2 linked regions of the Rattus norvegicus genome follow. The protein of the gene in region 1 interacts with the protein of each later gene in a pairwise test. Links are inferred from orthologs where the notes say so. Each region holds a gene or a part of one and is shown in the gene's direction. Other genes may lie near its edges.

Region 1 (4,227 bases):
TGCAAATGAGATAGAAGGCAAGGACTGACCTCCACACACTCAGGGTGACACAGGCGATCCTGCACACGCCCCCACAAAAAAAGATTAAAAAAAGTAAAACAAAAATCAGGATCAGTGAGATGGCTTAGGGGATTCTGAGCCCTGAAGGTCTGCCATCCAGGGAATATACATGGTGAGGGAGAAAGAACTGAATCCCATCCCGGAACTAGTCCTCAGAGCACATGCACCCTGTGTCATGGGAGTTTCTAGACTGCTTGCTCGGCATGTACAAAACCCTGAATTTCATCCTCAGCCTTGCATGAATTTATCGCGGTGGCATAGGCTAAAATGTCTGGGGCCCTCCTTAAAAAAAAAAAAAAGGCCAAATCTATGAGTCTGTAGCCCGTAAAAACCACCCCCATATTCCAATATGCAGAGACTAGCAGACAGCTATCCCTTTCCACCTGTGAACTTTCCTTCGGTGACCTTAGCAAATCTTCTCACCAACATATTGTAATGATCACATAGAATCACAATATTTATTTTGCAGGTGGGCAAGCTAAGAGTCTGGTTTGTTTTTTTGTTTGTTTTTTTTTCTTTTTTTTGGAGCTGGGGACCGAACCCAGGGCCTTGCGCTTGCTAGGCAAGTGCTCTACCGCTGAACTAAATCCCCAACCCCGAGTCTGATTTTTATTATTAGTGTTTTGTTAAAGATAGGTGCTCATGTAGCTCAGGCTGGTTGCAGACCTCAACATTTGTTGAGGGGACCTACTTTTTTTCTTTTTTAAAAGAGACGGTTTCTGTAGTCTGGTCTTGAACTCAGATCCGCCTGCCTCCACCATTCAAGTGCTAGAATTAAAAGTGCGCCGAGCGGCTTCTACTTTTTTATTTTTAGATTTATTTTTACGTGTGTGTGTGTGTGTGTGTGTGTGTGTGTGTGTGTGTGTGTGTGTGTGTGTGTGTGTGTGTGTTTGTGTGCGCGCGCGCGCACCCGGAGGGCCATTAGAATGTGTGCCACGTGCAGCGGAGGCCAGAAGAGGGCGTCGGATTCCCTCAAACTGTAGTTATGGATGGCTGAGAGTCACCTAGTAGGTAGTGGGAACTGAACGTGGGTCTTTTGGAGAAGCAGCCAGTGCTCGTAACTGAGCCATTCTCTCCAGCTCCGACCGAGAGCCTGAGCGTCTCTGGGGAGCGCATTTGGACCCTCGCTCGACCTTCCTTTTAATGGACCACGCGGCTTCTTGCAGCAGATTCCCTCAAGTACCCATTTCCTCCACTCTCCTTGTTTTGACCATTTGCCGACAGCTCCAGCAACGAACCTAGACAGTGAACTATAGCCAATGAGGCCTCGGTGTGGGCGGGCCCAAGATGAGATCTCGCTTCTGATTGGACAGCGGTACTAAGCAAATGGCGGAGGCGCTGAGGCGGGTACTAAATGCGGGCCGCGCGGCAGGGCCCGGAGAGGATAGCAACCCCGGGCCGCCCTTGCTGTTGCTCGGCGCTCCGCGCTCTGCGCAGACGTCGCTGCTGTTTGCCGCGGCTCTTGAGGCAGCAGGGGAAGGCCGCGGGCCCGTCCTCTTCCTGACGCGAAGGCCTCTTCAGAGCCTGCCTCTCAGTACACCCGCAGCGCGAGACCATTGGCGGCTCCAGGTAACCGGAGGGCTGGACCTGGCTATGCGTCACCCAATGGCGGGCTAGGTTGCTCATGAGTGACAGTTCGGTAGGTAAATGGCAGTGTGGATCGTAGATTTACTGCTAAATCGTCATAAAGTCTATATGGGAGAGGTGGGTGGAAGAAGCGAAGTAGGCACCTGGGACGGGACAGTGCCGGCTTAGTTGAAGATTAAATGAAAGACCGTCCTGCGGTGTTGCTGAGCATGGGTGCCAAGCCAAAAAACAAACAAACAAACAAACAACCCCCCCCCCCAAAAACCACCAACAAAAACATGTGCGAAGCCCTGGGTTCTTTCTATCTCTTTAACCAGACTTAGTAATATATGCCTGGGATTCAGTTCTTAGGAGGTCAGAAGTGTCAGACCAGCCTTGTTCACAAAACGAGTTTGTGATCATCCTGGACTACATAAGATTCTGCATTAAAGAAAATTTTTTTGGGCAGTGATAAGTGCTGGAAAAGGGCGGGTAACAAGGTGAATATTTGAGCTGGTGCTTCATCCTGGAACTTTCCAAATGGACCATGAGAGCCTCGACCAGAAAGTATGGAAGAAGTGAGGTAGCCGTAATAGAGAGTTTTGACCTCCTATATTAAATCTAGCCTTTTCCTATCTTCTAGAAGATTCGATTCCAGTACCCATCCTCAATTCAGGAGCTTCTCCAGCTGCTAGCCTCTGCCCATGAGGCCCCAGCGCCTGTCCCATCCCTTCTACTCCTGGATGGCCTGGAAGAATATTTAGCAGAGGACCCAGGGACACAGGACACCGCCTACTTGGCTGCATTGCTTCTGGATACTGCTGCCTATTTCAGCCACCGGCTTGGAGCCAGTGGCAACTGTGGGCTTGTGGTGGCCCTTGAAACCCAAAAAGAAGCCGATGGTGATGTCCCACATCTGGCATTACTTCAGCGTTATTTTCCTGCACAGTGCCGGCTGCAGCCAGATGCCCTAGGCTTGGGACAGCATTGCTGCCTTCGAGCTAGCCTAGAGACAGGCAAGCTGAGCCCCAGGACAGAGTGGTCAGTGACTTTCTTACCTGGTGGAGAGATGAAGATCACCCCATGGCCTGCCCAGGCTTCTAAGCTCAGCCCAGACCAAAACTGTTCAAGTGCTGGAAGCCAGTCTTTAACTTTGGGGTGTGACAACCTCCCTAGTCCCAGGTTTCCCTTGGATGGAATACTTACCTCAGGGACAGGTGCAGATTCAAAGACCTGAGAATGTAGGTTTCCTGTTTATAAACCAGCATCATTGTTGTTGGGGGCTGGCAAGATGACTTAGGAGGTCAAGGGTCTTGGCCACCAGCGTGATGACTGATTCTCAGGACCCACGTGGTAGAAAGATAGAACGGACTCCTGGAAGTTGTCCTCTCACCTCCACACATGCCCTGCACACTAATAATAATACTAAATTAATAATGAAACCTTTAAGACAAATAAGATCGCTGGAGCCTTCCTCTGTCCACTCACCATTGTTAATGAGATTCAGCCATATTTCCTAGTTCATTTCTTTTTATCTGCTGCATTTTTTACCCAGAATGGCTCTCTCGTAAGTCAGGCTAGTCTCAAACTAGATACGTAGCTGAGGCTGTCCTTGAACTCCTGATCCTCCAGCCTCATCTCTTGAGGGTGGGGCCTATGGTGTATGCTCCTATTCTTGGCTCCTCTTGCACATTCCATGGGTGCCTGTATCCCGGTTACCTCTGTGTGTTGACTTACCGACTGTTAGGGTCTAGTCATACACATGAGCTTACACAGCACTCAGGGTGTGCAGTTGGGAGTGGATTCGTTCCATGTAGAGTATGCATACATCTAGCTTTCTTAGGACATACATTTTTAAAGTCATTTGACGGAAGCTGAGCATCATGGTGTGCAAAATGGTAAGGCCAGCTTTGGGAGGTAGAGGTGGGAGGTCACAAATGCAAGGCTAACCTTGGCTACATAAGGTATTGGAAGCCATGCTGACTTACACTAGATCCTGTCTCCAAAAACCAAAATGGGCCAGGTGTGGTGTGGCACAGGCCTTTAATCCTAGTGCAGAGGCAGGTGGATCTGTGTGTATGTGTTTAAGGCCAGCCTGGTGTATGTGCCAAGTTCCAGGCCAACCAGGGCTACAAGGACAAAAACTAGAGAACTGGAGGGAGAGCTCAGTGGTTAGGAATTCTGTCACCGAGTCAGCTTTGGTTATGCATGTGTCTGAGTCATTTCCCTGAATAATCCCTCACCCATGTTCCTGCATAACTCCAGTAAAACTTTATTGGTTCACCAAATTGGACTTTGGTGGTATGTGTACGTGGGTTTTCTATCTGTCAAGTAGACGTCTGTTCATGTCCCACAGGGGTAGTGTTACCAACCATGGAGAAGGCATTAGGTTTTGGAGCAGCATATATTAGCAGCTAGCGAAATGTACACTGACCATTATAGTCTGTCCTCATATCACCAGATCCAAAATTTCAGTGCTCACTCTTTGTTTCCATGGGCTAGGTCCAGGCAAAGACGGGGTACCCGGAAGGGAGGGTTGTGGTGCAGTCCGCAGTCTTTGTGGCAACCCAAAGGCAGACAGAAGAGACTAACAGAAGCGCA
Region 2 (4,286 bases), on another chromosome or scaffold:
AAACCATCACTCAGTTTGCTGCATGGACGGCAGTTGGGGCAAGAGAACAGGACCTGTGTGAGAAAATCTAGGAAAATAGAGGGGAAGGGTGGTGGTGGGGGTGATTTGAGAAGTGTTCTGGATTTGACAGCAATTGTGTTCATTACTGTGTAACTGGGAATTATCAACAACACATTTAAGAACCATTATATTTTCCCTTTTTTTTTCTTTTGAGGCAGGGTTTCTCTGTGTAACAGAGTCTTAACTGTCCTGGACTTGCTTTGTAAACCAAGCTGGCCTCAAACACACAGAGATCTGCCTGAGGAACCACTATGGTTTTTTTTTTAGGCTTAATTTTTTAGGGGGTAAAAAGAAGACTGTTAAAGACACATTTTGGGGAAGGAATTTAAGAAAAAGTGCTTAGAGGAGGGCACGCTAAATCTGAGACATAACTAGAGCCTTGCAATAGAGACAGCATGTCAGTGACACACTGCAGTCTGTGAACACAAATTTGGACGTTGTTGGCATTAAGTCGATATCGAACCCGTTGGAAGAAATTAAATAAACCTGGAGGGAATAAAAGGATGTGGAGAAACAGATTTAGACGTGAACCAAGAGGCATAAATGATACTAAATTGCATTTTCGGGACGTCATACATATTCTATGCACAAAATGTTATTTCGGCTTGGATGTTAACTGATTAAAGCCACCCCCGCAAAACATCCTCAATCAATACATTTGGACAAAATAAATAAGGAAACTGTGAGGGTGCCGTCTCCACCTGCACTCACAACTGCAGCGGTTTTGCTGCAGGATTCGCCCTGGACCAGTCTGGATGCATCCCAACTTTCCACCCCGGGCCAATACATCCAGGCCTCGGGAAGCGGAGCGGAGAGCGCGCACGCCCGATCGATCCTCTCACCTTGGCTCGCTTCAGCAGCTGGATGATCTCTGCCTCCGCCTCGTCTGTCGCGTCCTCTCCCGGCTGCTCCTCTGCCGCCGCGGTTCGCGAGAACCAGGCGAGCGCTGCGAGAAGCGGCTCAGAGGTCACCGGGACCGGCCCGTGCCCGCGCCCCCGCCCCCGCCCCCGCCGGGCCGGCCCCGCCCGGAGCGCTCCGCTCACCTGCCAACAGCGGCAGCACTCGGTGCCCCCGCGCCGGCGCGCCTCGGGTCCGCAGCCGCTCCGCGCCCGGACCCGCGTCACCGGCCCGCTCCGGCAGTAGGCGCGCAGTACAGCCCCCGCACCGCCGGCCCGCGGCCCGCAGCAGGGTTCGACCCAGACGCCAGCGAAGCAGCCGGAACATGCCGACGCGTCCTCACAGCTCCACTAGCCGCGGCTGGCCCGGGACGCCCCGCCTGTCCGCATGCGCGATGACGCGTGATGACGTCACGCCGCCTCGCCCCGCCTTCGGCCTGCCGCGCGCAAAGAGTTCGCAGCCCACGGGAAGAGAAGTCGTGCGGCGTGCTATGGCGGTCACGCTCCCGGAGGTCGTGGAGGAGCTCCTGAGCGAGATAGCCGCCGCTGTGCGGGACAGCGCGAGAAGTATGGCCCGCGAACTTTTATTCTTATCCTGTATAGCTCTGTCCCTGAAGCCTGTGCTCGTTAAATCGCTAAACTAGAGGACTTTGAATGACTAGACGTCAGATCCCTGAGTGCGAGCCGGTGTGCGGGAACCCCGGGTACTTGAAGAGAGCCACTGGGTATACCCAAGGAGTGGGCGAGGGCAGGGATGCGGAATGGCAGATGCCTAGACAATTTTGAGTTACTCGGAATCATTATCCACAATCCGTGATGCAAAGCTTAAAAAAAACACTCTTGTTTACTTTGTTTAGTAAACATATTTTACTAAAAACATTCTAGGGATGCAAAACCTTTAAAGAAATCTGCAAGTTGAAAAGTACTTCTTTCCTCTACCTGTAGAGGTCGCCCTATGCCTGTCTCCAACAAAATGACTAAACAAGGATGATCTTTGCTTACCAGCCAGAGTAGGAGGAGCTACCAATGGGGGAAACTAGTAATGAGGATCTACTGCGTAGCTCAGCTAATAGAGGGCTTGTCTAGCATGTATAGAGCTACCGTGGATTCCCCGCCGCCGCCTAAGACTGAGCACATGGCTGTAATCTCCGCACTTGGAAAGTGGAGACAAAAGAAGGGAAAGTTCAAGGTCAACCCTCAGCTACGAAATACTAGGCCAGACTGGGCTACTGGAGACTATCTGAAAAAGGGAGACGGGGATGAGGGGAGAAGGCTTTTGGAGTGTAGACTAGTTAGAAGTACTCTTCCAAAAATAGCCTCTCTAAATGATAGTCAAATTAGAGCTCAAGACTGCTACTGCCCATTCATTGTGCTCTGTGAAAGGGTTGGCGTTACCGCTTTAACAGAACAAGAAAAATAAGCAAACGAATGGTCTCAATTTGGCCTTTTACGTATGTGTAAAAGATTCAGCCAACCAGGTATTCAAACATGTTTTGATTTCTAAAAGTTGTGGGTTGTCAGTCTGTTGTGAGCTCTTGCATGCAGAATTTGACCGCAGATGTTCTGAGATGTTTACAGAACACTTGCTAGAACGGGGCTGTTGGTGGGTTAATACATATGCCAACAACTGAAGGGGACCCCGAGCTCAGAAACAGACTCTTGTGTTTACTTTTTAGTAGGACACTTTTCAATATTGGTTCTGAGTACTCCTTCCTAATCCCTGATCTTCCTTGGTAACCTTGCAGAATATAAGTACAGGTTGCACATATATGGTTTAAACTAGTTGGTACTGAGCTATGTAGGAAGCTTTGATTTCCTTTCCTGGGTTACTTGGTTTCCCTGAATTATAACCATCTTGGCTTACTTAGTTTTCTACATATGTATTTTTACTTGAACTTCAAATTTTTTCACCACTATCATGGGCCTCCACTCAAAATGTTAAGGTAAAAAAAGACATTTTATCAGTTACATTTTCGTAAAGAAATCTGCCTAGAGCCTGCCGACTTGCCTAGTATGGACTCGCTGGTGTCCGGTCGGGCTACTGCTATCTTCCTTCAGTGTTAAAGGCTTGGGAATTCTCTTTTCCCATTTTGGGTCTTGAGTTTAGCATTTCCTACAATTTACTTTCCTCTTGTTTATCCACTTGTGTATTGTTACCTGTCTTAGTTTATGCAGTACGTACTTGAGTAGGTTCCTGACGAAGGCATGAACTGTACTTTTGAGGCTTTGAATGTCTGAAAAAGGTTTTTCTACTCTCACAGTTAAAAGGTATTGTCTCATGTTGGGAAGAACATTTCTTCAGACATCTGAAAACATTGTTCCATAATCATCTAGCATTTTGCATCTAACTCTGGTGCTGAATTTTGTCTGTGGCTTTTTTTCCCCTCTGGGTATTTGAATTGTCCCTAAGTATCCATGGTTGTCCATATTGCCAACGTACAAGTTCCTTTGGCAGGATGGCACGTGATCCAGACTCACCTTCCTTTGTACTCTAACATGCTAGGTAGGTAGAAGACGTCCTGGGTTGCTTAGGGAAAATGAGAGAAGAATGGCATGTTTAGTAGAGACTCAGAATTTTCCAGGGCTGGTAGTACTGGTTTCAGTTTGGTTTTGTTCGGCCTTTTCATAGTCCAGGCTGGCCTTGAGCTCCCTGTGCTCGTGCCTTAGGCTTCCGAGTGTCACAGTTACAGGCACGTACCTGCCTTTCCATTTCTTTTTAAACATTCCATGGGTGTTTTGCCTGCATGTGTATCAGTGTACCATGTGGGTGCAGTGCCCTCCTAGGCCAGAAGATGGCACCAGATCCCCTTGGACTGGAAAGTGAGCCAGCTGTTGGGAGTTGCGGGCAGGGGGAATGAACTGCTGAGCCGTGGCCCCGCCCCTCAGTTCTTATCTCCTCTTAGTTGAGTCCAAAGATGTTGGTCCCACGTGTATGGAGAGCCAGTTATATCTTCTTTATGACCATGATTCTCAAGCTTCTGATAAGATTTTGTTCGAGTTTCATTTTTACTCCTGGATGGATGTATGTCTGCATGTGTCCACGTGTGAGGGAGCCCCAGAGGCCAGAAGAGGCCCTGTGGAGCTTGCAGTACAGAAGTGAAGAGCTACCCAGTATGGGTGCTAGAAACGAAACTCCAGCTGACCGAGAGCGGCCACCTAGCAGGTGCATCATCTCCCCAGCCCCTGGTTTAGTTTTCCACTCTACCATGTGGCTCTATTAACTTACTTCATAGACGTTTGGTTTTTCTTCCTAGTATTCCCGTCATTTGGCTATAGAATGTCCTTTGTTGTCCCTAAGTGATTTGTCTCCTATATTTAACCTTTCTGTCC

What was found.
Region 2: the proteins of Swsap1 (region 1) and Zswim7 interact in binary tests that used the Homo sapiens proteins (3 or more experiments, as listed by UniProt). The link is inferred for Rattus norvegicus from reciprocal best matches to the Homo sapiens genes SWSAP1 and ZSWIM7.

Annotation. Positions count from the first base shown.
Region 1 is NC_086026.1:28,761,371-28,765,597, forward strand, and holds Swsap1 (ATPase SWSAP1), read left to right. Parts: upstream 1-1,382; 5' UTR 1,383-1,684; coding exon 1,685-1,699; intron 1,700-2,269; coding exon 2,270-2,863; 3' UTR 2,864-3,911; downstream 3,912-4,227. UniProt on the Homo sapiens protein: ATPase which is preferentially stimulated by single-stranded DNA and is involved in homologous recombination repair (HRR). Has a DNA-binding activity which is independent of its ATPase activity.
Region 2 is NC_086028.1:47,466,081-47,470,366, reverse strand, and holds the start of Zswim7 (zinc finger SWIM domain-containing protein 7), read left to right. Parts: upstream 1-1,447; coding exon 1,448-1,523; intron 1,524-4,286. Other genes in the region: Ttc19 (tetratricopeptide repeat protein 19, mitochondrial), read right to left, coding at 903-1,006, 1,104-1,284. UniProt on the Homo sapiens protein: Involved in early stages of the homologous recombination repair (HRR) pathway of double-stranded DNA breaks arising during DNA replication or induced by DNA-damaging agents. Required for meiotic progression, hence for fertility.